3 linked regions of the Alligator mississippiensis genome follow. The protein of the gene in region 3 purifies or fractionates together with the protein of the main gene of each other region. This does not show direct contact. Links are inferred from orthologs where the notes say so. Each region holds a gene or a part of one and is shown on either strand. Other genes may lie near its edges.

Region 1 (10,403 bases), on a different chromosome or scaffold from region 3:
TGAAGAACTCTCTCTGCAGAGTTTAAGTAGCAATGGTAACAACAGTTTACTAATCTGAGCATCTGGTCTTGGAATCATGTGATCCTGTTTTTTCTCCTATAGCTGAGGGAGGATCAGAAAGATCCTTCTTGCACAGAAGAAGGTAGGAGAACTCTGGAACAGGCATGCGTATCACGGCCACGATGAGTAGGCGTAAGAAAGTGTACAAAGGCCCACAGCCGAACTATTCGTACTTGGGGTTGCTTATGTCACTTCTGTATTTATGACCTGCTCCCACACCTGCTTGTATCAAAGGAAGAATTTTAGCTACTTTAAATGGACTTTGGCTCAGGCAGTTAAAGACGCAAAAACCATAGCTATTTTTAGGGATGCTGGCTGGCTATCGCTATCACATCTGGTTGGTTATCAGATCAGCACTGATAAAAGGAAAAATTATGTTATTGGCTATCGGCTTTTTTTGGTTGTTGTAGCTGATAAGTATGGCTGCATGTCCAGAGCACCCTCACGTGCATAAGCCGGTACCCCACCGCGGGCCTGAGCCTGCAGCAGGCTAAAGGGCTCAGTGAGCAGCGGAAGTGGAAGAGGGTGCCAGGGAGCAGTCACAGGGCACCGTACTCAACAACAAAGAGATCGTTAGGGCTCCTGCTACTGCTGCTACTGCCATAGCAACACCATGTGCGCAGCAGAGGCCTGAGCGCCAGGGCTGCCACGGAGACATTGGGGTAAGGCACTGCACAAGGAACATTCTGCTTCACCGGGCACTGGGTGCCTTTGCAGAAGTGGCTTCTCCTTGGTGGCCGCGGGAGCTCGGCTGTATGGGTCCCACCAGCACTGAGGCAGCAGCATGTTCTGGGGCTCCAGACGTGCCCGGTGCCACTGTCCGTGGGAGGGTCTGCCCTGACCACCCAGGACAGCAGCACAGGCTGCACAGGAGCAGGGAGGACCCATGGGCGAGGGGGCAACATGCACTAGAATAAGGTGGACACTACCTTCCTCACTCAGGGCCAGAGCAGGCAGGATGTGTGTGTGTGTTATAAATGCAAAACAAACAACAAAAAAGGTTTATTTATATCAGTAGTTTAAAATGCCTTGCACTATTACTAAATATTGGTTATCAGATTGGCAGTGGCCGATATGGTTGGTTAATCATTAGTCAAGAAAATCCTTATTGGTGCACCCCTATCTATTTTACATGTCTATGAAATAACCGTTGTTATGCTGAATAAATAATTATGATACACAATAACATCTAGTCTCTCTGGAGTATATCCTTAATACCAATGACTTGTCTATTTAATTTTCAGAATTCCTCCCAGATGGAAGAGACAACCGCCAGTAATACAATAAAAACCTACCAGGCGTCGTCTCTCCATCAGGCCCCTCCTCTGTCCAGCAACAGATAGGAGGCTTGCAACTTGCCCCACAAGGTCAACAATGTCAGGCTATGATAGAGAATTGCAGCAGCTTTCTCTTTGTCAGTGCTTCTACGGTTTGCTCTGAGCCTTGAATAGAAAGTGCCCACTGCTTGCAAACGAGTGCCTGGCAAGTCAGTGAAAAGTACAGACTGCTCTAGAGAGGTCACTGAGAAGCAAGAAGAGATCCTCTGGAGTTGAAGAAGACAGGACACTCCTCTCTAAAAAGAGGCTGGTTTATGAAGTCTCTCAGCCAGGACTCTCAGGAGGGATTTCAAGCCCATTATATTGACACACAAAAATGCAGAGTAGCAAAATGAAAAGCCATCAAGTTCTGGGAAACAAAGACAAAACAACATAAATGCAGTATCTTTAAGCCATTTTTAAAGTTTCCCTGGTCTAGGAACAGGCAACAAGGCCAAGCTAATATCAAAACACACCCCAATCCTTCTGAGAAGTCTGCTTTGGGGCACTGGATGGCTTTGCTAGCATCATCCTACAAACTAGTAAAATTTTCTGAAGTGTCAATTGCCCTAACGTTAAATCTCTTGCTACCCCCCATAGCTATATACCTGATGTTCCATTTCCCAAAGCAATGCCGGTCCTGTAGGAACTGCACACATTAATGGTCTCAATGCCCCACCCATCAGAAAGAAATGCAAAACTCTACTATTCTTGGTTCAGAGATTATACCTTTTATTAGGCCAACTAAGATGTTGCAAAAAAAAATTATCTTTTTCTGCAAGCTTTCGGGCTCACACACCCTTCCTCAGGCTCAGGGGTAAAATTAAAGATGGTAAGAAGTCCCCAAACGTAAAAGGAAAAAAAAGTCCCGTCCCCCACCTATCAGAAGCTCTTGAAAAGCAACCGCCCGGCAACAAAAGTATTGAATATGCATAAAGCATTATCTAAAAAAACCCAAAACATCAGGAATCAATCACGATACTAAACCACTTTGCAAACAAACATAGAAACAGATTTGCCCCATCAGTCCTAGGCTCAAAATATTGACTGTAAAAGTTAGCTGTAAAACAGTTAACGGCTACAAACATCAACATTGCCTTTTGAAGCAACCCCATCACAGTGAATTTTGGAAAGCACCATGGCATCATCTTTGTTATTCAAGAGTATCTGCCTGACAAAGATTCCCTCCAGTATCTGACCAGTAACAAAAAATATCTAAACCCAATTAGTCATAAGCAGAATATGGTTAAGGGCCTGGCAAGAATGGTCTTAGTAACTTTGTGAGCTCTTTGACGGGACGCATGCCCAAAGGGCAGTTGTTCCCAATCTGTGGTACAGGTACCACCAGTGGTACGCAGAGAACCTGTCAGTGGTACACATTAACAGATTTATTATAATTACTTTATATGACAAAAAATTGCTGGTGGTACTTAAGGTTGTATCATTTTAAGTTGGCGGTGGACACTGTCAGTTTGGGAACCGCTGCCATAGGGTCAGTTGGGAGTAGTCCTACTAAATGCTGTGGCAACAATACAGGTATCTTAACACACGGACAATGTTAAGAAGTATCAGAGCAGGCTTTAAAAGCCAGGTTATTTCAAATGCCCTGAACTTCCTTAGTCTGCCCAGAAACACAGAAATAACTTCGGAGGTCTTTACTCCATGCAAACTTTTTATTACAGGAACACCTAGAAACCCAAACTAAATGTTGTGCTTCAAACGCATAGCAAAAGGCTGTGCCTGTAACTATAAGCTCATAGTCCAAATACACACAGGAAAGAGAGGCTGAGGGAGGTGAAGCGATCTGTTCAAGATTACACAGAAGGTCAGGAGCAGAGCCAGGAATAAGATCTGGTTCTCTCAAGTCCCAGTCTACTTGCTGCCTGTTTATGCTCATAGGTATTTTTAAGGAGTACCAAAGATTACCGCAATATGAATTTTGAGGGACCTCTCTATACTAGCTTTTACAATGTGCGCCGACTGTGGTACCCGGTTAAAAATACAACTTCGACCTATGGAAATAAACAAGCAGCAAAGCAGTCGCTGCTGCCTATTAAGCAGGAGCTCAAAAAGTATTTCACAGAATGAAGAAAGTATGGTGCGCTTCACAGGGCAAGCCCTTTTGCAGAGATAAGATTCCTAGTAACTGTCATTTTTCACCAATAAGCAAGAGGACAGGCATCCTGCATCCCCACTTTGCTGGCTGGCAGTTGCAGCTGTTTAAGATTTCATCCACGATGCACACAAGTCCTGAGCCCTTCCAAAACACCCTGCTATATCCCCCCAGCATCTGAGACCTCTTTCTGCTCAGCCCCCGTCTTTTTCCCCGGTTGGCCTTTAACAAGCACCTTTTCCTCCCTTGCAGCCTGCGTCTCTCGCGACAGGCGGCTTGGCAAGATGGACCGAGGGTCTGCCCCAGTCTCGATGAACGTTTTGGACGGGGACGTCAAAGGGGCTGCTTTGCAGAGGTGCAAGAAGAGCACAACGGACTTGGGGGTCTTGTCTTTTGTCTGACGGAGGCAGAGCCCGTTTTCAAGTGGTTCATTTCTTCCCTTCCGCAGTTCTCTCTCCCTCCTCTTATTCCTCTTCTCTCTCTCTCTACCCACCACCTCTTTTCTTCTTCCCTCTCCACCGCTCCCCCCGCCCGCCCCGGGCAGACACGTGCGCCAGGCCCCCCGCAGCAGGCAAGTGCCCGCTCCGCGGCTCGCCGCGCGGGACGTTTCCCAGCTCCCCGCACCGCCGCGTCCCGCCCGCCCCCGCATCAGCTCCCGAGCTGTCCGGGCCGGGCAGGGCTGCCCCGCGCTTACCTCTGCGGCTGCTCCGGGCGGGTCCCAGCGGCACAAGCCCCAGGGCCGGGGCGCCGCCAGCCCAGCCCAGCCCAGCCCGGGCCGAGCGGCGGGCAGCGAGCGCCTCCCGGGGCGGGAGAAGGCGGCGGAGCCGGCAGCACAGCCCGAGCGCTGATGTCACGGGCGGGGGGAGCTGGAGCCGGAGCCGGAGCCGGGCGGCAGCAGAAGCAGGAGGAGGAGGGAGGGGCCGCGCTGTCTGCCTGTCCCGCCCCGCGGGGAAGGGGCCGGAGCGGGCGGACGCCCCCCGCCGCAGCGCCCGCCTCGCCCTTCCCAGCGCCGCCCCAGCCCCCGCTCCTGCCACTGGTCACACCACACCAAGTTTCCTGGGGGGTAGTTTCTTATGGTGTGGGGCGGGAAAAATAAAAGACTCCTACCCCGGCAACTGTGAAAACCTGCTTTTCTCCCAAGTGGTAACATCTGCACCGCTCCAGGGGTTCAGAGCTCCGGGCGCCCCATGAGGTGCAGGGAGGCCCTCCCGCCTCAGGACGTGGCCCGGCCTCCAGCTCCCGCCCGCCCGCCCGCCCCAAAGGGCCGTGGCGAGGCTCGTCGGGATAGCGTCTCTTCCGCGAGTTTATTAGTAACAGCGGATTTCATCAGTGCGTGCCCATGGCAAATATTTACATTGCACAGGTCCCTCAGCGACCAGTCCTTTCCGAGAAGAAAGCCAAGGCTCCCGCACTTCACAGGGTTATGGCGAGTGCCTGGGGTAGTACCACAAAATAAAAGATGGCATTCAAAGGAGATCTGGGGTGGTTACATTCATCCTGCCTTCTTAATAGGATTCTTCCTGGCATTTTAGCTTTGCTTACAGATATGACTTCAGATACACCTGGGCAGTGGAGAGGAGCACACCACTTTAATAATGTGCCGCTTTACTTCACCTAGAAAGTGCTGGAGAGATGCATCTCTGTTCTGCACATCTTCTGTCTCTCCTACCCCTCTCGGCTGTAAGTTGTTCTAGGCAGGAATCGTTTCTTACCTCGCTAGTGGGGAAATATGTGTAAGTCAAGTGACTTCTCCTTGAGTTATTTTTCCCTGGGTTTGGCCTGACATGACACAGCAGCCAAAGTACAGAATCAGAGCCATGTTTGTGTGCCGCCTTGCTATCCACTCCCTCATGTGTAGTGCTGCCTCCCAGAAGCACCCCCAGCACCACGCTGCAGTCTGATCCCTGCTGCGTGATGGGTGGCGGGGGAACACGTCAGTCCTTTCAGGGCCATCAGTGCATTAAAATAGGAGCCCAGCACTCCAGTGCACTCCAGATTTCTGCCGATGGCAACAGATGGACCTGTCCTAGAAGAAAGACCTAAACCACAGCTCTATCCAAAGTCCTAGCGACTTTTCAGCATTACTCTCTCCAGCTAAAGAACCAATTCTTCTTGCTGGAGAGCTGTAACACACTGGCCTCCTCTGTGGATCAAGAGCAGAGGTGGTATGTGAAACAAACTCTAACCAGTGGGATCTTTCTTTAAAGTGCCTAGTACAATGAAGCTTTCTAACCTCAACCAGAGCCTCTGGGTTATATTATCGTAAGTAGTAATATGACAGCAAACCAGAAGTACAAACAGAAACTGAATTTTAAAAGCTACCAGTGCTACTTCCCCCACTCCCCTCCCCTCTCAGCTGTGTTTGGGTACATTACGCTACTGTCCTTTCAAATAATCTACACCCCTTTCCACTTACAAATGTTTGTGTTACCCCAGAAGAATACTGTGAGAGTGCTGAATCATTGTGGAATTATCAAGAAGCATGCCCAGAGGCAAGAAACCTTCAAAATGTAAACTGTCTTGATCATCAGTTCCTGTATTTAAAACAGTCCTAGATGTTAAAAAACATATGTCATCATTTACAAAAAATGGTGTCTTTAAAACTAAGGTGAGAAAGATTAAAAAAACAAACCCTATTTGCTGATATACATCACTGAAAAGGAAACATGCAAAAAGTTTCTAATGCACTTAGATTAATATCCCTTATTAATTAATATTAATAAATATGCATTTGGATTTTGTCACTTGTTGAACCATTGAGATTAGGAATGACAATATATAAAAATCAAGTGAGTTAGAGGAGTCTGACATTATATCCAGAATGTAGGTACAGGTTTTTTGGGTGTGTAGAAGCAATAATATTGAACACTTGGAATTATTCTGGGTCTAAGACCAGCAGAATTTGGCCCACGGTGTTATATTTGCTGTGCAAGAGCCAGGTCTCTAAATATTCATTGATTTTTGAAGCCAGAAGGCTGTATCACAGACTAGAAAATATGAACACAGTATGACACTGAAGCAGATAAACTCATGATACCAGTACTAGTACTAGTTGACCAGTCAGAAGAAAATACTTCCTAGCTCTTTGGATCACAGTGGGAGGTACAAAGACACTTAGTGCTTCTACACTAGCTCTGTGCCTTTTATTCCTTGGACATTTGGTAAAGAATTTACTTCCATATTTCCAGCAGAGGGAACTCTCTAAGAGCTGTGATGCTGACTTAATGTGTGTGCTATTCCATAAAAATCGCCATGGTAAAATCTTAATTAGGACGTTCAGACTTCCGAGACGAGTTGTGCTGGTCACTGATCAATAAGGGATGACCTAAGTTCACCCTGTACTAGGGATCTCAGGTGTAAGGATCAGCAGTCATGAAAATAAGAACTATATTATTATGAATCATTATATTTCAAATGCCCAAACTGAGATCAGGTTCCCACATACTGGACACTTTGAACATACAGATTAAACAGCAGTTCCTGCCCTAAAAAGCTGAAAATCTAAGTAGACAATGCAGACGAAGAATGACAGAAGACATGATTTGACCAAGGACACATCCTAGGATCCTGGTCAGTGACAGAACCAAGCTCCTGAGTCCCAGACCAGTGTTATGATTCCATCCTCTAGTCCAGCAATACTCAAACCATAGCTGCCAAGTCACCAGGGCTCTTTGACTGATCAGCTCTTTGAAGAAAATGTTATCAAAAGTGCGTGTATAAGTTTCACTGAATGCATTCAGTACAGCTTTCCTGCAATCATGAATAATGCAACACACACGCTAGCTATCTCTATCCATCGTAACTACTGTATTTCCTTTCTTTTGAATCAGACTGTTTGCCAAAATTCACATAGGGGCATATATGTCGTAGCTGTTTGGTTATCACTAGCTACTTAATGCAGCTCCTAAGCCAGTTGCTAATGAGTGTGGCTGCTCTCGAGCACACTTTCTCATGTCTCCCTTCCTCTACAGGAATAGGTATAACAACAGAACTATGTCCATGGGGCCCAGTTGTAATTTCGTCTGCGTTGTGGTGCGACTTGGGAAACCCATTAAAGGTTTTAGTTTGCTTCAACACAGTCTTATGACAAAGAGCTGTCTCCAAATATAAAATTAAAGATTGATTAGAGAATTCTCTCAGCTGCCTCAGAGACACTGAACATCTAGCTGGAAAATGGAGACTATCACCCTGCTCTTGTGTGCACAGCTCTGCCAGTCCTCTCCATTCCAAGCACCCTGATCATGACACGTCAACTTCAGGGAAGCCAGATTCCTGAGTATTGCATTACCCTTCTCAGATTGTATTTTCAAGAAACTGCCAACAGGTATCTCTGAGTGCTGATTCAGACACTAACACTCTTTTTTCACTAGAGAACAGCAACTGGAATCCATCTGTACTTTCAATGAGACTAGTATAGACATTTTGATTTCTGTAATCTTATTCTCAGCTACTACAGCTAAATGGAAGGTAACTTCCTGTCTGACTTGGGTGGCCAGGTGACTGGGATTTGCAAACTGCCTGGATCTACCATCTTGACTCAGGAGTAAAGTAACTGACCACAAGTAATTGAAGATGATTAAAATCAAGAGCGTGCTCGCCTCCGTTTGATTAAGCGCTCCCATGCAGCCTTAGCCCAGACTATGGATTGCGTCTGTCCTGGGCTCGCGGGTGGACCCCACAGGCTACCCCTGCTGACGTCAGGGGGTCCCCTTAACTTGCCTGCCATGACTTGGAATGTTGCCTCAGTGGAGGGGTTCCCCTTTGGGGGAGCCTCCAGGGTCGTTGCGCCTCCCGGCGGGCACTCACAGAGCTCCGACCTCCCCTACACCCCGGCCACTTGCCACCTTGGGCTGCCGATCTCGCTGTCCGGGTTCAAACACCCGTTCTTTGGTATAGCTGTCGTACTTCTCTTTCTGGCGGGCCTGAGCTTCCCTCTAATTCTCGCGGGCTATGTCCTGGGCCACCCTTATCCTTTGCTGAAACTCCTGTCGATATACTGCTGGCTCTTGTAGTGGTCCACCACCTCATTCCCATTCCTCCCTCAGGACTTGTAACAGGCCTCAAGGGCGATGCCCTAAAACTAGCTCGAATGGGGAAAATTTCATCGAGTCTTGAGGAGTGTCCCTAAGGGTAAACAGTACCAAGGGTAGAAGGAGATCCCACTTCCGGGGGTCCCCTTGAATGCAGCGCCTCAGTACTCGCTTTATGGTCCCATTCAGGCGTACCACCAGCCCACTGGTCTGGGGGTGGTACACTGAAGTGCGGATCTGCTTTATTTGCAGCGTCCGGCATACCACCCTCAGGTTGCCGGACATAAAATTCCTTCTCTGGTCGGTTAGAATTTCTCGGGGAACACCCATCCTTGCTATCCATTTCACCAATTTCTCAGCCACACAGGGGGCGGTTACTGCCCGTAAAGGAATGGCCTCCGGGTATCAAGTCACGTAGTCCACCATGACCAAAATGTATTGGTGGCTGAACCTGCTACAGGGAAGTGGTCCCATGATGTCTAGGGCTACCCTCGAAAAGGGGGTACCCTCGAAAAGGGGGTGTCTATAATAGGCATGGGTCAGAGCAGGGCCCTGGCGGGGCGTTCAGTCCGGGTCTTCTGACATTCCGGGCATGCTGCACACCGCCGGGCTACTTCCAAAAAAACCACCGGCTCACTTTTGCCAGGGTCTTGTCTCGACCTAAATGCCCTCCCACAGGGCTTGCATGAGCCAACTGCCAGATAACCTGACGGAACCGGGTAGGCACTACCAATTGCGCCTCCGTGGAACCCTCCCGTCTGTGCCCTGGTATGCAATAAAGGAGGTGATTTCTTACCTCAAAGCAGGGCTGTCCCTCTGGCGGCAACCCGGGGCAATTCCTGGAGTCTTGGGCCTGTTCCCGAAGCGCCCTGAACTCCTGGTCCTCTCCTTGCACTTCCCGAAACTGCACACTGCTGGTGAAGTCGCTGAGGTCTAGACCTTCGGCCTCATCAGCTGACTCGTGGTCCTCCTCCAATTCACCCAGCCATCCTTCGCGGTTCCACATCCTTCTGCGTGCCTGTTCCGCATCCCTCACTCGGTCTAGCACGTCATAAAGTGGCTTCCAGTCCCGACCCAGCAGCATTTTGTATGCCAACTGGGATACTATTCCCACCAGGAGTTCCCCCTGATGCTCCATTACGCGAAGCTGGATCCATTGCCGCCCTACACGCTCGGCTTTGCCATGGAGGCAGGCCACTGTCACCGGCGGGGCTTTCCTTCCCGCTTGTGGGCATACCACATCGGCCCTTACCATGGACTGGGCGCATCCCGAGTCGAGGGTTGCCTGCACGGGGCGTCCATCCACCCAGGCCTTAACGACTGGGCCATGTTGCATTTCCCTCGCCGACCACATAACTACAGTCCATCAGCTCGCTGGCCTCAGGACCATGGCGTCGGTCAGCTGGGCCCCTGGGCCTGTCGGCAGGGATCCAGCGCTCGGTGGACTGGCTAGGGCACTCCCGTGAGAAGTGCCCGTTTTGTCCACACCGAAAACATACGGTGTCCCTGGTAGCTCCCCGGGTGGGAGGACGCCGCCGCTTGAGTTCCTTTGGGGGCACCGTCACTGGTCCCGGGCTCCTTCTTTCCCTGGGGTAGCTTGCTTCCGCAGCAGTGAAGGCCTTGGCCAGTTTCAGGGCCTCTTCGCAGGTATGCGGGGAGTGCTGCCGAACCCAGCGCTGCGTCCTTTCCTCCAGATCATTCTGAAATTGCTCAAGGATGACCTGGTCTGCCAAGTACTCTCTATCCGACCCTGCTGGGCTTACCCATTTATCGAGGAGGTCCCGCAGCAGCTGCAGCAACACCCAGGGACGTTTTTTGTCAGGCCTCTTCTTGGCGCGGAACAGGCGGTGATAGTGATCTGGGTTGATCTCTAACCAGTAGAGA
Region 2 (10,276 bases), on a different chromosome or scaffold from region 3:
ATGTCTGCTTTTAGCTTAGGACAGAGGAACTCTGGGGTGAGGGAGGGACAGACCGCGACTGCATGTTGACATGCAGCCCCAATAGAATTGGGGAAATACATCCTATGCCATACACAGCCAGGCCTAAAGCTAACTCCATGATCCAATTTAGGTGAAGCTGGACCCCTCAATCTTCACCTTTGCACTTGAAAGGCAACATCCCAGAGTTGTGCTCGGTATCAGAAAAAAACAAACAAACCATGTTACCAACTAAAAAGGAGCTGAACACAGAGCAAAAGTAGAGACCCTGGGGCTAAAACATTTTAGAAGAATGTACCGTATCCACAGTTAAGAGATTAGGGGATTATTTACAAACCTCCAGGGTATAAACACCACAGATGGAAAAGAATTATTTGTTACCATCCAAGAGGTGACAGGACTAAATTATGGAGAGAGCAGTACAGTACAGCACAGTGCAAAGTCCCCGACGTGCATAACAGGCCCATCCCCTGTATTTGTCTACTGCACACCATAACAAACCTCAGTTATCTGCGTATCTGTTAAGCACATGGGAACCTGGCTCCACTGTCTGTTTTACAATGCAGCAGTTTGAACTGCGTAACGTGTGACCCTGACTAGCAGCTGTCAATCCCAAGGCTCCTACCAGCAGCCTTCAACTAGGTCTGCCAACTCCAAAGTAGCTTTGGAAGCCTTCAGGCTCTCCAAATAAACAAGGCCTTAATGAGGTGCAAACAGCTGGGAACACCTTGTTCCCTGGGTTAACTAAGCATTGCTTCTATTAGCTCAGGTAAGCCTCTACCCCAGAGTTCAGTTCAAAGGGAGTATCCATTAGCGTGCATGGGAAGGGAAGGAGGCAAGTCTCACCGCCCTTGCATCAAAGTTTCCAAATCCTTTCTACGCTGAGACCTCACCCAGGGCACACACGGCTGCACCTTCCAGGCTATCCCAGGCAGTTCTGTGCACATACTCCATAGGGCTATTTTTTTAATTTTTTTTTTTTTTAAGAGAAGGATGCTTCTAATGTTTCAGTGTTTCTCTAGGGACCTAATGGCATACCCTACACAACAGATGCTCTCACTCCATTCTTAGGACATGCCAGCCACTTCCTTATTATTTCCAAAATAACTCTGGTGAGGAGGAGGAGCTGTCAAAAATCTGATGAAACCTGTCATTTTTTTATAAAATTCAAATAAGTAAATGCCTTTGAGTACCAGGTATTTAGACAGGGGAGTGGGGGAAGGGAAAGGAAGGGAGATGCTGGAAATCATCCCTTACAACTTTTCTGCTTTAGTGGGCAGGTGTATCAAGTAACACAGAAGAATACAGAGACGGGACACACCTATGATTAAACAGATCTGGACTAAGAGTTTGATGCGCTTTGAGACACACAACTATCCCAAGCCAAGCCAATGCAAATTGACAGCATTTCTTCAAATGCCCCCGGGCAATGACAGAGACACCTAGAATCTGCTGAGTGTTAGAGAAAAGGAGCAATAGACTAAAAGGGGAAAGGGGTTTGCGACCTAACCCATCGTGTCTAGGAGCAACAGTGAAACCGCTACCTTCTCTGTTCACCAGAGCTTGCGTACAGTTAGTGCAAGAGATGAGCTGAGCGATGAGAGTTAGGAGCAGGTGTAATCCCAGTCGAGGCGAATGTCAGTACGATACCAGAAAGCTCCTGGTGAACTTGGCGAAACCAAAGCAGAAAAAATCCAGATAAGACCTGATCATCATCAGCCATCGTCAAGCAGAAGGTGATCACACCCTAACTCAGACGCACGGGCCCACGCTGCTTTATCCTAAGGGGGTTTCAGCACAACCATGGACATGTCAGAATGCCAAGACTTATAAATAGACTGTCACACAGAGCTAAACCCAAAATATGCTCTTATACCCTGCAATCCCACTGACGCCACCAGCCCTGCATTTAGGTCATACCTGCTTTAAGATTTCTCAATTAAGAGCTTCCCATTCAGAGGCAAAACACAATTCTTCAGCTTTAACGGGGCCCAGAGCTTTCCACCACTAGATTGCCAGGGCAGTGCTTTCTGAAACCCGTTCTGTGCCCGATATGAAAGGACTGGGTGGCCTCATTCCAGTTTCGAGTAGGCAGATGTCCACATCACGAGAACACACCGTCACATTTGGCACTTGGTCGAGAGCCTCAGCCAAGCGACAAACAGGCCATGAAAGCTGAATTTCCTTCTCGCCATGACAGTTGGGGTTCCTCCAGGTCAGGGGCAAGGCCCCGTGGCCGTACCCAGGTCACATCCAAAAGCTTCTACATCTCCCAATTCCTCAAGCCGGCTGCTTTTCCTAGCATTAAAGCTGCTACTCGAGCGCTTTTAATGAATACCGCACGGAAACATGCCTGGACCAGGACTGAAAGCAGCAGGAAGCGTTTGCAGCCTGCCTGCCCAAATGCAATCATGGAAACTATTTTCTTTTATTAGCAACCAAGCCTGCCGCCCTCCTGGACTCCTCCTGGTGCAGCGAGGCACCGACGTCCGAGGAAGATGACCCTACTGCTTCTAAGCTGCCTTTCAAGCTGTTTTAAGGCACGTGCTCCTTTTGAACGCCGACAGAGTCTCACTGAGCCACTGAAACAGTATCTTCTCCTTGCTGTCACCATCCCTCCAGGTACAAAGAGGTAGGTCTGGTGAAAATCTGCCTGGGAGCATGCACTCACACATACACAATTCACACACACTTCTCTCCCTGCTGTCACCTCACACACTGCAGAAAACAAGCAAATCGTTATATTTCCAGCAAAAATGCCGCATGCTGCAAAACTCCTTTCAAATCCTCGGTATGCGGCGAATGGGTCCCCCAAAGAAAATGCAGGAGACCTGCTTCCTCTCTATTGGACTCTGGCTGTTTTACGCACAGCAAGAATCCTTCGCGTTGCCAGAATAAATGTGGAGGCCTAAACTTTCATGAAAAGTCAGAGCCGCTTTCTCGTGCCCAAACTCTGCAACCGATGCCCTCTCCCGCAGGCCCTGAAAGCGTGCTCACAGCGGATTCAGGCACCGCAGGTCACATTAAGGCGCAAACGCGGTTCAGCCCGCACCGTTCTGCTCTCGCTTGGTGCCGTCCCTCGCACCTATGCAGGACAAGGCTTCTCCTGCCTGAAAGCTGTGCCAGGGCGAGGGGTTTCCTAGTAGTCGAAAAGTGAATGCAAAGAAAAAAGCAGCCCCCTTCCTTCGCATCCCCGCGGTGCCTCCACAAGTTGCCGTGTGGGGTTACTGGGCGGCTCGTCCGCCGTCCGCGCAGGCGGTGTGGGGTCGCCGGTGCCCACGGCACCGCGAGCGCCGGGGGGAAACGTGGGGCGCGGAACGCAGCAGGGACCGAGGGAGGCGACGGCCCTGCACCAGGGTGACCGGGACACACACACACACAACAGGTGACAGGTGCACACGGGTGTGCAAGACAGGGCTAGGAGAGCTGACAGGCACATGAGTGTGCGGGGCACGGTAGGGGTGGTGAGAGGCACGCACGCACGAGTGTGTGGAGGGAGATGATGATCACACATGTGTGCGAGGCAAGGCCGGGAGAGGTGATGGGCGCACATGAGTGTGCGAGGCAGGGCAGGGAGAGGCGACAGACACGCACGAATGTGCAAAGTGAGGTGACGGGAACATGTGAGTGTGTGGCGCGGGGGGGTGGTGACAGGCACACACGAGTGTGTAACGTGAGGTAATGGGCACGAGCGTGTGGCACGGGGGCGGGTGGTGACAGGCACACACGAGTGTGCCAAGGGAGGTGATGGGCACATGCGAGTGTGCGGCACAGGGTGGGGGTGGTGACAGGCACACACGAGTGTGCGGGGCAGGGTGGGGGGAGGGGACAGGCACACACGAGTGTGCAGAGGGGGAGGGGCTCACACGAGTGTGCAAGGCCCCGCGCCCCGACGCGCTGCAGGCCCCGCAGGCCGTGCCGGGGCGGGCGGGGCACTGACCTGTCGGTGGCGGCGGGCTGGGAGCCGCTCATTGGGGCTGCGGCCGGGCGGGCGGCGGCGGCGGCGGCGCTCCGTGCGGGGGCGGCGGCGGCGGCGCTGCTAGCGGGGGGTGCGGGTGCCGGTGGCGGTGCCGGTGTCGGTGCGGGGGCGGCGGCGCCGGGCGCGGGGCGATGCGGGGCCCATGTCCCGGGCGCGGCCGAGGCTCCCGCGCCTGCCTGCCGCTGCGCTAGGGCCCGGCCCGGCCCGGCGGATGTGGCGGGGCGGGGGCGGGGGCCGGGCCGGTCGGGTCGGGTCGGCGCCGCCGGTTCCGCTGCGGGGGTTGGGCGGGCGCGGGGCGGGCGGCGAGCGCCGCGCGGGGATGTTTGTTTGTTTATTTATTTATTTATTTTCCTGTCCGTACTTGAGGCGCCGCCTCACGGGCCGCGGATCCCTGCGCGCCGCCGCACCGCGCTGGGCCGGGCCCGGCCGCGCCGCACCGCTCCGCCCCCGCGCCGCCGCCGCCGCCTCCCTCCGCGCGCGGACAACGAGTCCCTGCGGCCCCCGCGCCCCGCCCCGCGGCGGAGCGTGCGCGTGCTTGCGTGCGTGCGCGCGCATGTGTGTACCTGTGTGTGCATGTATACCCATGTGCACATGTATGTACCTGTGCGTGCATGGGCAGCTGCGTGTACCTGTGAGCGTGTACGCATGTGTACCTGCGCACATGTTGGAAAGTGTGTTGCGGTGTGCATGACTGCACAGCTACTTGGGTGCGTGTAGTGTGTCCCCGCCTAGTAGCGTGTCCCCATGTTTGGCTGTGTGTGTTTGTGTACCCATGTGTGCAGAAGGGTGTGCGGCGGTGTGTCTATGTCTGTACTTATGCACATGTGGCTTTGTACACGTATCCATGTACCCGTGTGTGTACCGGTGCGTGCACATGTGTGTTGGTACGTGTAGCCATGGGTGTGACACGGTGGCAGGGCTCCAGCTGTACAATTGCATGGAGAGAAGCAAGGCACTAAGTCCCGCTCCTGCCAGGCAGGACGGACGGCGCTTGGCTCGGTCTTTGCAGCCGGCAGATCTCCAGTCCGGCAGCTTCCACCTGCCCCAGCGCCTTCCAGGGGTGCTGCCTCCCCGCCCCATCTGTCCTAGGGCCGAGCCCCTGCGCCAGGAACAAGAGCAGCAGACCCAGGCACCCCACCCTACCTCTTCTAACCCCGTGCATCGGCAAGCACGCACGTCCCTACCCCTGTGAACACCATGCACCCCACCTAGGTGCCCTATTACCAAGTGCCGCGGGCAATTTTCTGCATGCTAAAGGTTCACGGGCCGCATTACCGTGGTTCAGTGGTGGCCTCCTTGCCTGCTCCATGGGTTTGCTTCTGGGATGTGCAGGTAACCACAGCCACCGAGGGACCAGCGTCCTGGGAGCTGTCTCCAGGTGGGATGGACGGTCTAGGCCAGCGGTTCTCAACCTTTTTTGTATCAAGACCCACTTGTAAACATTGATGGCCAGTCTCAACCCCGTGCCCCTCATTCCCGACCCCCTGCCCTGAGGGTGTGGGGCAGGAGGCCCCCAAGCTGCCCCTTGCAGGCTGGAAGTTTGCCAGCCTGCAAGGGAAAAGCCAGTTTCCCAGCTTGTTCTCCTTTAAAGGAGAATCCATTTTTTAAGTTCGTTCGCAACCATTTCAGATATTCTTGCAACCCGCTTTTGGATCGCGACCGACAGGTTGAGAAACACTGGTCTAGGCAACCTCCGCTCCTCCCTATTGTTGCCTAGGCATACGCATCCAAGGTCATAGTATCATAGTGCTTAGGGATGATCAGCAGGTCTGACCCCCCACCCCGGGCAGGAACGGGTGCCAGGGTCATATCAACCCAGCCAAATGTCTGTCCAGTCTCCTCTTGAAGACCCCCAAGGTAGGAGAGAGCACCACCTCCCTTGGGAGCCCTAACTGTAAAGTAATGTCTCCTGATGTCCAGCCTGAACCTGCTAACAATTTGTGGGTGAAGAGCATCTGGACCTACTGATTTAAATACATCCAGCCCCTCCAAAAGTTCCCTAACTAGGTTGTTCTTGACACTAGGCATGGTGGTGCCTCCTCCGGGTCCGTCTGCAGTTCTAGTGGGGAGATGCCCTGGTCCCTGTTCAGGATTATGGAGGCAAAGAATTTGTTAAAGAGGTCAGTTTTTTCATTTGCTGCAATCACCAGATGGCCACACCTATCCTGGAGGGGCCCCATGGTACCCAGTGCCTTCTTATGACTCCTATGTATTTGAAAAAGGACTTTTTACTATCCTTAATTCTGGTCGCCAGCCCTAGCTCCATCTCTGCCTTGGCCTTCCTAACAGCCTCCCTGCAGTCCTAAAAATGGAGGTATAATCCTCCTTGGTGTTAGCCCCTTGCTTCCACTGTTTGTACGACTCCTTTTTTGCCCTCGGGCATCCCTGGATGTCTTTGCTGAGCCATGGGGGTTTCTTAGCACTCCTGCCCTCCTTGGTGTGCATTGGCACCGACTCCCTTTGAGCTGGGAGGATCGTCTCCTTGAGGAACAACCACCCGTCTTGGACTCCCATCTCATTAAAGCTCCAAGACACCACTGCCTCTCCTACTAACCTGCTTAGCTCATAGAAGTCAGCCCTCCTGAAGTCGAGGACCTCTGCCTTGCTGCTTGCTTTCCAGCAGGAGATAATCACTGTCGCCCAGGTGGTCGAGTACCCGCAGACCCCTCACCAGGTCGTCGCCTGTGGCAAGGACCAACCCAAGCAAGGCATTTCCCTTGGTGGGACTATGCACCTCCTGGGTTAGGTGGAGGTCCTGTATCCTGGCTAGGAACCTAAGTGAGCGGTCGGACTGGGCTGCCTGCTCCTCCCAGCAGATGTCTGGGTAGTTTAGGTCACCCATGAAGACCACATCCCTTGACTTTACAGCCTCCGTGAGCTGACCTGATAATTCCCGGTCCAGCTCATCCTCCTGGTGAGGCGGTCTGTAGCAGACGCCCATATCAAGTCCCTTTCCCCACACCCTCCTTGCATTTTTACCCAAAGCACCTCATTTTGCCTCTCCTCTGACCTCATCCTGATCATTGAGGACGTGTATTTTTCCCTGCTCTGTATCCCTCGATGGCCACTGTCCGGTCATGGTTAGAATCCCACCGGGTTTCCGTGAGCCCCACTAGGTCTGGGGTTTTGCTAGCTAGCAGGAGAGTGAGTTCCTCCTGCTTACTCCCCATGCTTTGAGCATTTGTGTAGAGGCATTTGAGGCCTCCTGTAGGTGCCCGTGCCGTCCCCTTGTTCCTAAACCTGCCCTAGCCCCATCACGTACCTGGGTACTACCTGCGCGTCACCTGGCTTGATGGCAAAGTGTCCCCATGTTCCTCTGCGTCCCCGTCCCCCCGGCCAACTTAGTTTAACGCTCACCCTGGTGGCCTCTCACACATATACTATGAGAAAGGATTTGTAGTTACAGGTTCATGCAGGATCTCTGCCACTGAGGGTCACAGTGCCACAGGTTCAAGCGCAAGTGGCATGGATTCATGCAAGGTGCCAGGTCTGCTAGCAAGGCTTTGTGGCACCCCCTCTCCCAGGGCAAGGCAGTAATAACACCCCCTGGAGCCCACTGGTCTTTTCTTACTAGAGATTGAAGCAAATGCCCCATTCACTAGCACCAAGTGTGTATAACAGACTCCTTCCTGCTGAGAGCAGCACTGCAGTGCTTTTCCCAGGCGTTAAAGATTTGCAGCATAATCAGGAGTTGACCTGTCCAGAGATTTGTACCCTGCAGTAAAGTCTCTGCAATAACGTGAGACTAGCTGCTGCAAACCATAAAACTATGCTAGCACCCAGTTCACTTTTGGGTCCAAAACAGATGCATTGCAGGAGGGGAAATGAGATGAAATCATTCTTAAGATGACACTTGCCATTTTCTCAGACATAGAGAATAGCTGTTTCCCCTTTTGGTTTCCGGGTAGTGAGTTATGCTGAGGGACTAGCTGTGGGAGAGATGGGTTTCTAAGAGAGCCTGTGTTGTGTGTGTCAGATCTGCTATTTATAAGTTAGGCCTTGGTGTCTTCTTTAATGTAGGTTTTTATGCACAACAAAATCAACACTTTGCAATAAAACAATTAGGAGGCAGGCCTGGGTGCAGGCAGACACCAAAATGAGAAGGGACCACATAGACTGCTACTGTACACCAGCTCAGCTCTACTACCATCAGAAGAGTTGCACTGGCCTGCAGTAGCTGATAATTTGGCTCAGCATGATCAAATTCAGCATTATTGGGTGGATTACTGCTCTCCTCTAGCACTTCACATGGCCATTTATTTTTCTTTCATTCAACAATTAAGGGAGAGCTAATTAAAACAATCCACAGTGAAGCCCCCATGCAAGTAGCAATTACCTTTTTAGCAATGTGTTGATTTTGTTAGACTCTGACTGCACAGCTATTATTTTCATATCTATGTATTTATGAGGTTTCTGCTGCTTGAGCAGTTTTAGTGTGAAAGCCAGGAGCCCAAAAAAAAGAAAAAAAAAAGAAATCAATAAGCAATTACAGTGTGTAGCACCAATTAAAATAGATCTTTGTGGCTATAAAATCCTCACTTAACCTGCAATTTATAGATAGTACCTTCCATTTGTAACATCTATGTTTCTGTGAAAACACCTATTAAGATACCTACTCCATTTCTCCAAGGGAATGCAACATTGCTCCCTTGAGTATGCTCTTTACTATCCAGACAGAGAGCTACACGTCTTGCAGAAGATGAGTCCCTTGAACCGTAACTCCTCAGCTGGTGTCACAGCACAGGGTGGCAGAAGATGATAGCTCCTCAGAGGTATCTTTTATTAGACTCCTGAAAAGACAGGCTTATATAAAAGCGCTTTGCAGGGTGTATTTCTGAAGGTAAAAGAACTGGATGAGGAGTCTAGGTGATGCCTACACATCACCCAAGGACCTGTTGCCATCTGCTGGGACTTCCCAGTATTGCCTCCCATCTGAAAATCACCCCACTGACCAAGGGACATATTGGACAAGAAGGTCCAAGCATCCGAAACGGGCCGGTTAATCAAACATCAGATGATGAGTTTGATGGCAGATGCAACCTGGGTTCAGTCCCCATGTATTGTTGCGGGCTTACCCGAGAAACACCGTGCAAAGTCTGGCTTGAGCATGGAAGGGCTGCATGCATCCCATGGGGAAGCGAGCAACTAGTGAGCTGCATTTCACTCCTGACTTTGGTTTTGGCTTCAATTCACTGGTACTTAGGCTCAGCTGTTGTAACTCATGTTCAAGGCTCCATAGGAAAGAGAGACAAGAAATTAGCTTCACCACTTGCTGGAAGTCAGTAGCACAAACAGAACAACAGGAAAGATGGAAGGCAGAAATACCAGCTTTTTTCCATTCCTGTATCTTCACTTAAAAATAAGGATGGAACACAATTACATAGCAAGCACTGGACTTATTAGGTGAATTGTCATGATTCAGAAAGAAAGAAAAACAAAAACCAGAAGAATATTTTGCAAAGGTTATACCCAACATTCAAGAGGTCAAGCTTTCAGGAAAAAGAGCTACTTGCTGTAGAGCTCACAAAAGAGCTGGAGTGTCTTCTAAAGCTGTCTTCCTTCACAGTATTCCAGATTCCAACATTTCAAGAAAAATAGTCACCGTTTCAAATTTTGACCAGTTGTTGTTTCCTTATCTTGGGTTGCCAAAATTTGCACCCTTTCAATTTATTTTGTACTATTCAGAAAGTTTCAGACCCCTTCCTTTCTGCATTTCACTGCAGGATGCAAACATGAACCCAAATCTAGGTGAAAGCAGAGCAAGAAATGTAACTGTATAGGGAATCTTGGTTAAAGCAGAATCCTTCTCACATTCTGAACACGTTTACTAATGGAGATAATTTACCTGCAGATGCACTGGATTCTCCAACGCTTGTTGTCTTGAAGGCAGGACTAGACATCATCCTAAAATGCAGGTTGGAGCTTAAATGGAAGCTTTGATCTGAAGCAGAAGTCACTACTTGATGTGCTTTGGCCTGTTACATAGGAGGGGCTTAGGCTAGATGAACCTAGATGTCTTCTGACCTTCAAATCTGTTTATCTCCATTTTGCATACAGCAGAAGTGAGTGCAAGTGCTTTGGGGAACTGAGAGGATTCTCAGGAGCAACTGAAATCAACTGTGAAACTGGGGCCTCTCTGTGCTTCATGCTTGTAGGTGATGGATTTAGTACTGGGGATAAAATGCACTAGTCTACCCCACTTACAAGTATATTGGATCAGTGACATCATTTGCTTAACTGCATAACAGAAGCCTAGCCCCAGTTTTTTGCCTAATGTTT
Region 3 (10,549 bases):
CCTGCCCCGTGGAGTTGCCCCTGCTCCCTGTCCCTGTCCAGGCAGGCAGTGGGGGGCTCCAGCTCACCCAGCTCTGTGTCACGGATGCCCATGTAGCTCTCCAGCAGGTCGTCTACCTTCTCGATGGCCCGCTCCTCAAATGCTGATGGCTGCCAGGGAAGGGTTGGGAGTTAAGCAATGCTGGGCAGGGGCCCAGCAGGACACTGCTAAAATGTGCCCCCCTCCACAGGCCCCAAGGCTGGGCCCCTCCAAGCTCTCCTCAGTTATTGGGACTGGTACGGTGAGGGGGCAGGGGCTGCAGGTCAGGAGGGGCACAGGGAGTGAGGGGCACTACAGCATGACACAGGCAGGACCTCCCACTCATACCTGCTCCTCCACGGTGGCTGGCCCCTTGGCGCGCAAACGGAGGGTGCCCCTGCCCGTGCCCAGCTGAGCACTGCTCCCGTGCCGGGCACCCGATGACCGCTGCCCAATCATATCTGTGGGGGAGCAAGAGGCCAGATCAGTATGGGGCCAGAGGGGGCAATTCCCAGCTCCACCCCCAACAGGGCCAAGAGCCTGTGGCTGGAGGGAGGGGTCCCAACTCCAGTCCATGGTCCCCTGGAGCCTGAAGCTCCCCTGTGCACCCCCAGCTGGCTTAGCCCCGCCCAGATGGCGCACCGGGCCTGGCACGGAGCAGGCGGTTTGCGTCAGCCACTGCTGCACACAGGCCCCTTGCTCTCCCTGCAGGGCAGGATGGGGAAGGGAGGTCCAGGTGCATCTGGCATGGGCACCTGCGGGTGAGGGGGTGGGACCAGCCTCTGGGAAGGGACCTGCAGGGGACCAGGGCTGGTGGGTGCAGTTGGGAAGTGGGGGGGCACTTGCAGCCCAGTGCTCATTAAAAACCAATGCAATAGGCTGGACCCTGTCCCAGGGGCAGCAGCAGAGCTGGAGGCGGGGGAAGGTGGGGACACACATGACAGGGAATTTGGGTCAGTAGTGTGGGGCACTGGCAGGGCTGAGGACTCTGTGCAGCCAGAGCAGCCCCCCCCAGTTACTGGCAGGGAAGGATCCAAGAGCCAAGAGGAAGCGGCTCCCCCCCAACACCCATCCCAGGACCCCATGAGTCACTGCAGGAAGGAACTCAGTGGCTGAGGCCAATGGAGGTGCCAGGGCCTGGACACCCAGGTTCTGCTCCTGGCCGGGGGGGGGGGCGGGGGGGGCGGGGTGTTGTCCTGGGCAGCTACCCTGGGCCACAGGGTGTCTCCTGCTGACAGCCCCGACCTGGTGCTTAGGAGGTCCTGCCCCCTCCTGGACACATGTGGGCACTGCAGCCTTGGGAGGGTCTCCATGGGCCACAGAGTCACAGCACCATCTGCTGTCCCTGCATGGCAGTGCAGCCCCAGGGCCAAGTGTTTGGGGGGTGAGGGCCCTCTATGGGCTGTTTCACCCTTTCTGTTCCCCCAGCACCAAGCACCCAGGGCTCCCCACCCAACAATGCTCCACTTGGAGCCCTGCCCCTGCCCTCCCACCCAGTTCCTGCCCCACCCCAGGGTCCTGCCCCCACTTCTGCCATACTGAGGCCCTCCCCCCAGGACTCCATCCCTGCCCCAGCTCCACATTTGCTCCACAAGGCCCCGCCCCTGCCTCATGGAGGTCCCCCCACCCCAACTCACCAAAGGCCTTGAGGGGCTCAGTAAGGTGCAGAGTGAAGCGCCGGCCCGTGGGCAGCTCCTTGAGCATCTTGGCCACCTCATAGTGGCGGGCACCAAGCAGGCTGCGCCCATCAATGGCTTCAATCATGTCACCCACACCGATGAGGGGGATGCGGTCAATCACGCTGCCCTCCTTGATGCGCTGTGGGGGCAGGGGTTGCACTGGGACTCATGGCTGGGACAGCCTGAGCACCCCCCCTCCCCAGTGCCTTCCTGGCACAGCCAGCTGGCCTTGGCCCCTCACTCCTAACCCTGCCCAGGCAGGGACCACAGAGGGCTGTAGGTTGGGAGTAAGGGACAATGGCAAGCTGGCAGGGGGAGGGCAGTGGTCCGGGACTGGAAGTGAGGGGCACTGGCTGGGTTGGGGGAGCAGTGGACTGTGAGTCAGGAGTGAGGGGCACCAGCAGGGAGCTAGTGATCAGGAACGAAGCCTAGGTCTTTCCTGACCCTGCCATGCCCTGAAGCACAAGGACCCCTGTGTCCCCAGCTGGATCGAACATGTCCCCTGCATTGACTCCTTCTGCCCAGATTGCACTGCCTCACTTTGAAGGGGCTGAAGCCCCTGGCACGGACCTGCAGCCATACATGGGGCCTTCTGCCCACTGCCGAGATGTGCCCAGCTTTGGGGCAGAACATGGCAGCATGGAACAGCAGGGCGAAAGTCTGAAGCCCCGGAACTGGAGAACATCACAAACTGGGGATTAGCAGATGCCAGAGATTTGGGCTGAGACAGCAGGGCTGTGATCCCACCCAGACCCTGGGGGCTGTGGGTGAGGAGTGATGGGCACCAGATGCTGTGGGTCAGGTCCCACCTTGATGAAGGCATAGCCGGCCCCATTGTCAGTGATGGTGAGCCCCAGAGCATCCTCAGCCTTGAGCACCTCGACTTCTTTGCGCTGCCCCCGTGTGTGGGCAAAGATGAAATCCTCCAGGCCAATCTGCCCCCCCAACAGCTTCTCCATGTCCACCTTGTGTGTGTTGAGGGTGCAGAACATCACCTGTGGGTGGGGAGGGGTGGTGAGCAACACCAAGAGGCCCCATTCCCTGCCTCTCACCCCCCAGACCCTGTCTTCTTGCATCCCAGGCCCAGGACCCCCATCCTTTCCCCCCTTGAGGTTCAAACCCCCTGCCCACCCCTGCCTCCTACCGGGCCCCTCAGGCCCTGGATCATCATCCCTCCACCCATCCTCACCCTCTGCCCCAAGCCTCCCACCTGCTCACCTACCCCAGGCCCTAAACCCATCCCTTCAGACAGCCACACCGGCTGCCCCCCAGGACCTGTCTCCCTGTCTGCCCCCCCCACCCACTAGACCTGTCCCATGCCCCTTATCCCTCCACCTACACCCCCTGTCCCCAGCCTCCCCCACAGCTTCAGCCCCCTGTAGCTCCAGGTCCTGTGCCCCTTCCTCCCTAGGCACCTCAGTGGGGGGGATGTGGAAGGCCTCAGCGATCTTGCCGTAGAGCTCGCGCACATTGGTGAAGCCCTCAATGCGGCCTGTGGGGCTGCCGTGTGCCAGTTGTGTGTGGAAGACCAGGCGGGGTCGCAGGCCAGCAGGCGGGGGAGGCAGGCCAGGATGCAGGGCTCCCAGCCCTCCTGGACCCCCTGCCCCATCTCCCCCACCTGGCCCCGCACGCCCCACCTCTGCCTCCTCATTCTCCACCAGCGGGGGGGGCTTCTTCCGGCGCCCAAGGCCTAACGGCATGAGGGCAGGGGGACCACGGCCAGCACCAGCACCCACGGGTGACACCTGTTGGGGGGGGGGACAGAGGCTGCAGGGAGGGCACCTGGGTCCCAGCCCAGCTGCCGCACCAGACTGAAACTGCACCCCCGCAGGACACCAGTCCCCCACCCCAGATTCCAGACCACCCTTGCACCCCCTCCCAGGCTCCCTGGACCCCAAAGATGGCTCCTCCCCCCCAGGATGCTCTCCCAGATTCCTTGTCCCCTCAGGGGTAGGTAGAAGCCAGCGCAGGGGGGTCCCGGCACCAGGCACTGGAATGCGGGTGGAGCTGCCATGCCCGGCTGACTCAGAGCTGAGGAACGGGCCCCAGCGGGTTCTTCCAATGCCCGGGAAATGTGGCTACCCACCCCCTGCCCCTTTCCTGGGGCAGAGGAAAGCTTTTACCACTTCCCCCATGCCAGCTGCCAGGGACCCTCCAGTGCCTTCTCCTGGGACTGCATATCCCAGAGCCAGAAAAGGCCTCAGTCCCCCTGCAACACCTGGGTCTATTGTACTCATCTTTCCAGCCTGTTCTATGTGGCAGTTCAGCTGTTGCATGCTCAGAGCTGGGTATGTTTCCTCCACCCTGGTCTCTCCAGAGGCTCTGGGCCTGGTCCCCCCCAGAGGTGGCTGCATGCTGCAGGCCAAGCTGGCAGGTGCTGGGGGCCTGGCAGAGGTCGTGGGGCCTGGCTCAGCCCCACACCCAGGGGGTTGGTAGGTCCCCAGCAGCTACCTGCTGTGGGCCTGGGTCCAGGTAGAGGACCAGGCTTGTTAATGTGCCTAGGGAGGGCAGGGTTCCTGCCTGGGAACAAGTTAAAGGCAACCTCGCCATTGTGACTGAGCAGGGCCTAGCAACACCAGGGCAGTGTGGGCAGGAGCCAGGGCATGGGGGGGGGGGGTGTAGGGTGGGGGTGTAGCACTTCCTACACTCCACTGCCCCCAGGTTTCATCCCTGCTCCCTTGGTGCCTCAGGGAAGCCAAACGGGTAAGTAAACGGGAAGCCAACAGCTAGGGGCTCCCCCATCCATGTGGGGAAACTGAGGCACAGAGGGACATGTCAGGTCGGGGGGAGAGGAATCAATGGCTGAGCCTGGGACCGGACCCAGGAGTCCTGCCTTGTGCTCCTGCCCGATGGGGGGGGGGGTCATGGCCTGGGTGCCCGGCAGTGGCAGAAGGCAGGACCCCTGACCAGGGGCACATGGCAACCCTGCTCCCCCCAGCCCTAACGCCCCGCTCTGTGCCCTCCCCCCGGCGCGCCCGGCACAGACCCCAGAACCAGCCCCCGCCTTCCGCCCGGCTCAAGACCCCTGCCCCCTCCCCCCATCGCAGCCCCACACTCACGCGTCCACCCGCGCCAGCCACCCCGCACCTCCACCCAACTCCAGCTGGGGCCTGCGCCGCCGGGAGGGGGGGCGGGACCAGCCTCAGCGCCTCCGCCAATCACAGAGCGGCCTTGCGTTGCCGCCGACCAATCGCAGCGCGGCCTGCCGTTCAGGGCTGGGTGGGCCGTTCCGGATTCAGCCGCTTCCCCCGCCTGGGTGCAGTTGGAAGCGTCCAAACCCAGGGAAGGGGAAGGTGGGAGGTACCATGAGAGGGGAGTGCGGGGAGTGGTTGGGGGGGAGGGGTTAACATTTGCTGAGTGCGTAGGAGAGACCATTCAGAGGAGTTGGATACGCCCCCAGCCAATTGCAGACCAGATCCGGCCAGAACGAGCCAATCAGGTGTGCTGTCGGGTGGGCAGCCAAGTCAGGTGCATCCCGGGGGTCTCGCAGGTCTTGGCGGGACCATACGCACTGAACCACATCGGCGCGAGCGCTGGACTACAAGTCCCGTCATACAATGCTCGCTCGAGGCACGCCCGGACCCGTAGTTTCTGGGAGGTGGCTGCAGGAGGCCCGTATTGTCTTATAGCCGAGCGCAAGCAGCACGGCCTGTCCCGGAATGCAGGTGTCTGGCTGTAGCTGCCAGGGACCAGAAGGCAGGGATCTAGGCTCCGAGATCCCCTCAGCTGCGGAGAAAAGCATGTAGATCCGGCCAGGGCCCAACCCAGGGGAAGCTACCGGCTGGGAAAACCCAGGATCTTGCTTCTGCCTGGGAGTGTCATGTAATTGCTACCTGTGCCAACAGGAAATCCTACTCTATCCTTCTCCTAAGGAGTAACAGGGGCTGAATGCGTCTGGGCCTCTGGGCTTTCACCACACCCTTGTTCATTCAGCAAGGGGCTGTGGGACACACCCCTGTACAGCAAGCCAGGCCAACAAGCAGGAAAAGCTGCACCCACAGGATGAGGGCTAGTAGTTGCTAGTGGCTTTAATAAAGATCTGGGTGAGCGTAGGTCTTGGCTCTTTTAAGCTGGCACCTGCATATCTTTTGTTCCACGCAGGGCAGGGAATCTACATTGCAGTTGCTTCACCTAATCTTAGCCCTACACCCACTGTCCCCACCCTTCCCAGTGGGGATCTAGCCTATTTAAAACCCTGCCTTAGTAAAATAACAGCAGCTGTGGGAAAGGCCACTTTGAGCCACTCAGTGTCTAACAAGTGCAACTCAATATTGCTTCCCACATCAGGACAGATACCTCTCCCCCAAATAAGGCCACACAGGGCTTTGGCTACCAAGACTTTAATCGTAACCCCAGTTTGGTCTTATCACATTAGTAACTGAAAATTGTCAGTCCAGCCATACTTCAAAACAGTGCTGCATGTTTAAAAAAAGGGAAGGTCACCAGCTCCTCCCATGAGTCTTTAATTCAGATACAATCCTATAAAATAAACCAGCCTCTCCACTGCATTTTAATTACATGTCAAATTTACACAACTTTTATACAAAGTATGTACAAGAAGTGCTGTAATGCTCCTGTACCAGGAGCAGGAACCCTTTAATTAAAAAAGGATAGCAAAGGTGGTGTTAACAAGCTCAGAGGCCAAGGCCTCAAATGCCCCAGAGTTCAGTGGTTGGCCAAAATCCTCTGGTTTAAGACAGCAACTGTGAGTAAGGAAAGGAGTCAGACTCTGCTGCTGGCAGAGATGCAAGAACCAGGCAATACCTGCTCAGCCCATTGCCCTACCAGGAATTGAGCCCAAGAATGTAGAGGGATGCATCTATGAAAGTCTCTTCAGAAAAAAGATTTGAAAAAGCAGATTATATTTAAGACCCAGGAAATCCCTTTGCATTATTTTTCTAGGCCTGGATAGCTACTGGTTTAAACTCCAGGGCTTATTCATTTCATCTCATCTTCAAGACATTTGTTTAAGCCCTAGTGTTTACCAGGGTTATTTTCACAGACCCACAATTAAGTTCAGCGAGAGTATATCCACCTTCCAGCAAACAAAATAGGCAGGCAGGACTCTGAGGTGGGAATTCATAGCCAAGAACATCCAAGTGACCCAGGATAAAAGTTCTCCAGTGAATTAACAAGGAACACAAGACACAAAGCAAGGACTACAACAGTAAGGACTGTCCAGTTTGGAGTTTATGCCCCCCACATGGTGAAGGGATTCCAACTCAGCAAGAGATGAAGTGCAAGGCAGCTGTCCTATTTAGGGCTGCCCAGGATGCAGACAGTGGGTTGAGTCATTGGTCACATCCTTACAAGATGATTTGTCAGCAGTGTGTCTGTAGGCTCCTCCCAAATGTAGCAGCTCACTGGTGTAGGTGATTCAAGCAATGTTCTGGGTCAAGGCACTGAAACCAAGTTCCCAGAGCCCCAGCCTGGAGCCCAAGGCTATGGTCCCACAGGCTTTGGTGTTCAGCCAGTCTTGGTCTCAGGTCCACAGATTGCACAAACTAGATGGGAAGGATCTGCTCCAGAGCTTTCTTGGATGTCTGGGGGATTCTGTCTGGGAACCGCACATCAAACTCTATGATAAGATCCCCGCGTTGGTCTGGGTTCTTGGGGTATGGGAGACCTTCCCCAGTGATCCTGCGCTTTGCTCCAGGCTTGATGATGTCTTTGAATGACATGGGAATGGTCCTGCCATCCAGCGTTGGGACGTTCACCGTGCAGCCACACAGGGCCTGCAGAGAGAGACAAGTCAGAGAGACCATGAAATTCAACAAAAGGTCTGTACACCCCAGACCCAAAGCTAGAACTCCAGCGAGTCCTGTACCCAGACCCCCTAACTCACCTCTCGGAGGCTGATCTTAGCTGGGAAGATGATGTCCGAGCCATCCCTCTTGAAGATGCTGTGTGGCTTGTCTTTTAGAACAAAGACAATGTCGGCTGGAATGTTGTTGGGCGTTTGGTCACCCTCCTTGGGGAATGTGATCTTGGTCCCTTCCTTCCACCCCCGTTTCACCTCAATGGTTAGGATCTTGTCCTCGTTGCGTGTCGTCTTCCCATCCGGGTTGAGACGTTTGTGAGAAATCTTCATCTTCTTGGTGCAGCCCGAGTAGACCTCCTCTAAGGAGACCCTCAGGTCATGCGTGATGGGAGGGTCCTGCTTCCGGCGAAGGCTGTTGTGGCCCCCTCGGGTGCGGGGGAAACCCGCATTGCTGAAACTTCCCATTTGGAAGGTGACAAAAGGGTCATCAATGTCCATGTCTTCATCCCCATTCCTCTGCATGAAGAAGGTATCAAAGGGATTCCGGCCTCCAAAGAACTCAGCAAACACAACATGAGGGTCTCCATGGAACGTGTAGGTGAATGATGGGCCATTAGCACCACCTCCCATGTTGGAGCCACCTCCTTTTAGCCCTGAAAAACAGGCAATAAACCTGCTGTTAGTTTATCAGTCTCCACTTTCACTCATGTGCTTACCCCAGGATTCCAGATCCCCAGCTCCAGAACCATCCAAGCTTTTGGCCTCTGTTCCCACCACCATTGTCATTTTGTCTCATCCTTCAGTTCTGAGGTGCCTCACAGAAGAGAAGTCTCATCTTGACCTGGCAAGTACTTTCTCTAATCACAAGGGAAATTAGAGTCACCTCCAAGAGTTCTGATATCCAGAGCTTCCAGCTTTTCAAACACAGATCAGTTTATACAGTGAATTTGATTGTATCATTTGGGTTAACATTCCCCCTCCCCATATCAAGGCAGGGAACGTAGGAGCCTATGGACTTCCTATTCCTGAACTGAAGGAAAACACATGCTTAACAGCAGCCCCAGAGGCACAATAGCAATTGAGGGTGCTTGGAAACAGCAAGGCAAGCTCTTCCTGCCTTGGGAGATTAAGGCAGGGGCTGCAGGGAGTTCAAGTTAACACAGAAGATTCTAGCATATTTGTTTGCTTGTAACTCCAAGCCACGCCCTTGCAAGGCTCCACCTCTCCCAACACAGCCAATCCACACAGACCTGCCAACACTTTGGCACACAAGGGCAAGCTCAATGTCTACCAAGAACACAGGCCAGCTTTACAAAAACTGCAAAGCTGTTTCAGGATGTTTTCTCTCCTGTTCTGCCAGTTCTGGTTCCTCACCCACTGTCTCCAAGCAACAGCTCAGTCACAGGTATGAGCCAGGAGCTGCAAGGCTCATGCAAGGAGCAGTAGAACAAGCCTGTGTGCCCTCAGTGCTAAATTAAAGGCTTGATCTAGACCAATCCTGACACTTCCACCCTTAAGGTGGGGAGTCAGGCAAGCACACTGTGCCCCAGGTCCTTGTCCTTCAGCTTTAGAACAGGCCCCAAGAAAGCATGAAATAAGGACTCTTTACAGTGTCAAAGCTAAAAGTTAGCAGCTAGCAGCAAGAGATAAGGATTCATCTGGCCAGTTTCCAAGCCCGCACAGGTAGCAAGAGCCTGTATCCACTTTTTTCTAAGATGCCACATACTGCAGGTCTCTCCCCTGTTCCTCAAGTCAGTCCTGCTTGGCTGCTTCCTGACTTCCGTTTCCACAGCTAGGCTGGCGCCAGGGGCAGCACTGGTCAGCCCTAGCCCACAGCTCCCCTCAGAAGACCCATCAGGCTCATCTTCTCCAACCCAGCATTGGAACTAGGGAAGGGTTGCGGGGGGGGGGGAGGGGGGGAGGTGCTTCTGCCCTGGGCACCCCAGGCCAATCAAGCCTATGCAGACAGCTGTGGACTGGCACACACCTCAAGGAAGGCCCTCACCATGTACCCAAGCCAGGGATACAAGTCTCCCAGCACCTCATGCCCTTTCCCTTAGAGGTCCCAGCCCTCCCTCAGGATATAGTCCTTACCTCAAAGGGCAACTCTGCACTGCAAGCCCCAGCCCAGGGCAGTAAAGCACTGACCCCTGGCCAGCACTTGGGGGACCCTGCACTGTCACCTCCTCCACCCACAGGCTAGCTCCCCCCAGTGCCCTCCCCCACAGCCCAACTCCTCTCAGACCTCCCCTCCCCAGCCTGCACTCCATTCCCAGCTCCCCACCACAGCCCCACTCCCCCTGGAGAGCCCGCAGACCCGACTCCCCTCTCCCACCTATGGAGCAGGACCCGCCCCCGGGTCCCTCGGGGCATCTCTCCCCCCCAGCCCTGCCCCCCCCAGCGGCTCAGGCCCCGCTCCCTGGGACACCCCTCCCACTGTGCAGCAAGCCCCGCAGAGCCTCGCTGCTATTGGGATCCTCTCCCCGCCCCCAACCCTGCAGCCCCAAAGCCCCACACGGCGCGGGCGCTCACCTTCCTCGCCATACTTGTCGAAGACCTCCCGCTTCTTGGGGTCACTGAGCACGTCGTAGGCCTCGGCCACCTCTTTGAAGCGCTCCTCGGCGCCAGGCTCCTTGTTCTTGTCGGGGTGGTAGCGCAGCGCGAGCTTCCGGTAGGCCCGCTTGATGTCCTCGTCTGAGGCACCGCGCTGCAGGCCCAGCGTGCCGTAATAATCCTTACCCATGGCGCCGCCCGGCCGCGATCGCCGCCAGCGCCCCAGTCTCAGCCCATTTATACCTGGGCTCCGAACGTTCCAGAGAGCGCCACAACCATCCGGAGCCTCCGCTCCGCCCCGCCGCCCCAGCCAATGGACGCCCGCTGCTGCCGGCGCGTGACCCAACAGAGGGCGGGCGCGCGAGGACCTGCCTGTGTGAGGGCGGGGTGGAGGGGAGGGGGTAACTGTCGTCAAGGCCACGCCCTCACCTCTGTGAGGGCCAATAAGAGAGGGACGCTGGGAGCGACAAAGCCACGCCCCCTTTCCGGAAAGGGAGGGGGAGTATGTATGTACCAGAGGCTAGACGTACCTTACAGA

What was found.
Region 1: the proteins of GIPC1 (region 3) and SH3BP4 purify together in Homo sapiens (affinity purification with mass spectrometry; 4 studies listed by BioGRID and IntAct, with this or other methods). This does not show direct contact. The link is inferred for Alligator mississippiensis from reciprocal best matches to the Homo sapiens genes GIPC1 and SH3BP4.
Region 2: the proteins of GIPC1 (region 3) and ARHGEF12 purify together in Homo sapiens (co-immunoprecipitation; 4 studies listed by BioGRID and IntAct, with this or other methods). This does not show direct contact. The link is inferred for Alligator mississippiensis from reciprocal best matches to the Homo sapiens genes GIPC1 and ARHGEF12.

The regions. Positions count from the first base shown.
Region 1 is NC_081827.1:183,718,842-183,729,244, forward strand, and holds the start of SH3BP4 (SH3 domain-binding protein 4), read right to left. Parts: upstream 4,690-10,403; 5' UTR 4,597-4,689; intron 4,387-4,596; exon of another isoform or gene 4,184-4,386; intron 1-4,183. UniProt on the Homo sapiens protein: May function in transferrin receptor internalization at the plasma membrane through a cargo-specific control of clathrin-mediated endocytosis.
Region 2 is NC_081839.1:30,423,224-30,433,499, forward strand, and holds the start of ARHGEF12 (rho guanine nucleotide exchange factor 12), read right to left. Parts: upstream 4,305-10,276; 5' UTR 3,991-4,304; coding exon 3,959-3,990; intron 1-3,958. UniProt on the Homo sapiens protein: May play a role in the regulation of RhoA GTPase by guanine nucleotide-binding alpha-12 (GNA12) and alpha-13 (GNA13). Acts as guanine nucleotide exchange factor (GEF) for RhoA GTPase and may act as GTPase-activating protein (GAP) for GNA12 and GNA13.
Region 3 is NC_081831.1:24,770,228-24,780,776, forward strand, and holds the start of GIPC1 (PDZ domain-containing protein GIPC1), read right to left. Parts: upstream 4,844-10,549; 5' UTR 4,757-4,843; intron 3,443-4,756; 5' UTR 3,398-3,442; coding exon 3,113-3,397; intron 2,693-3,112; coding exon 2,507-2,692; intron 1,837-2,506; coding exon 1,656-1,836; intron 480-1,655; coding exon 367-479; intron 150-366; coding exon 68-149; intron 1-67. Other genes in the region: DNAJB1 (dnaJ homolog subfamily B member 1), read right to left, coding at 7,202-7,432, 7,543-8,111, 9,991-10,201. UniProt on the Homo sapiens protein: May be involved in G protein-linked signaling.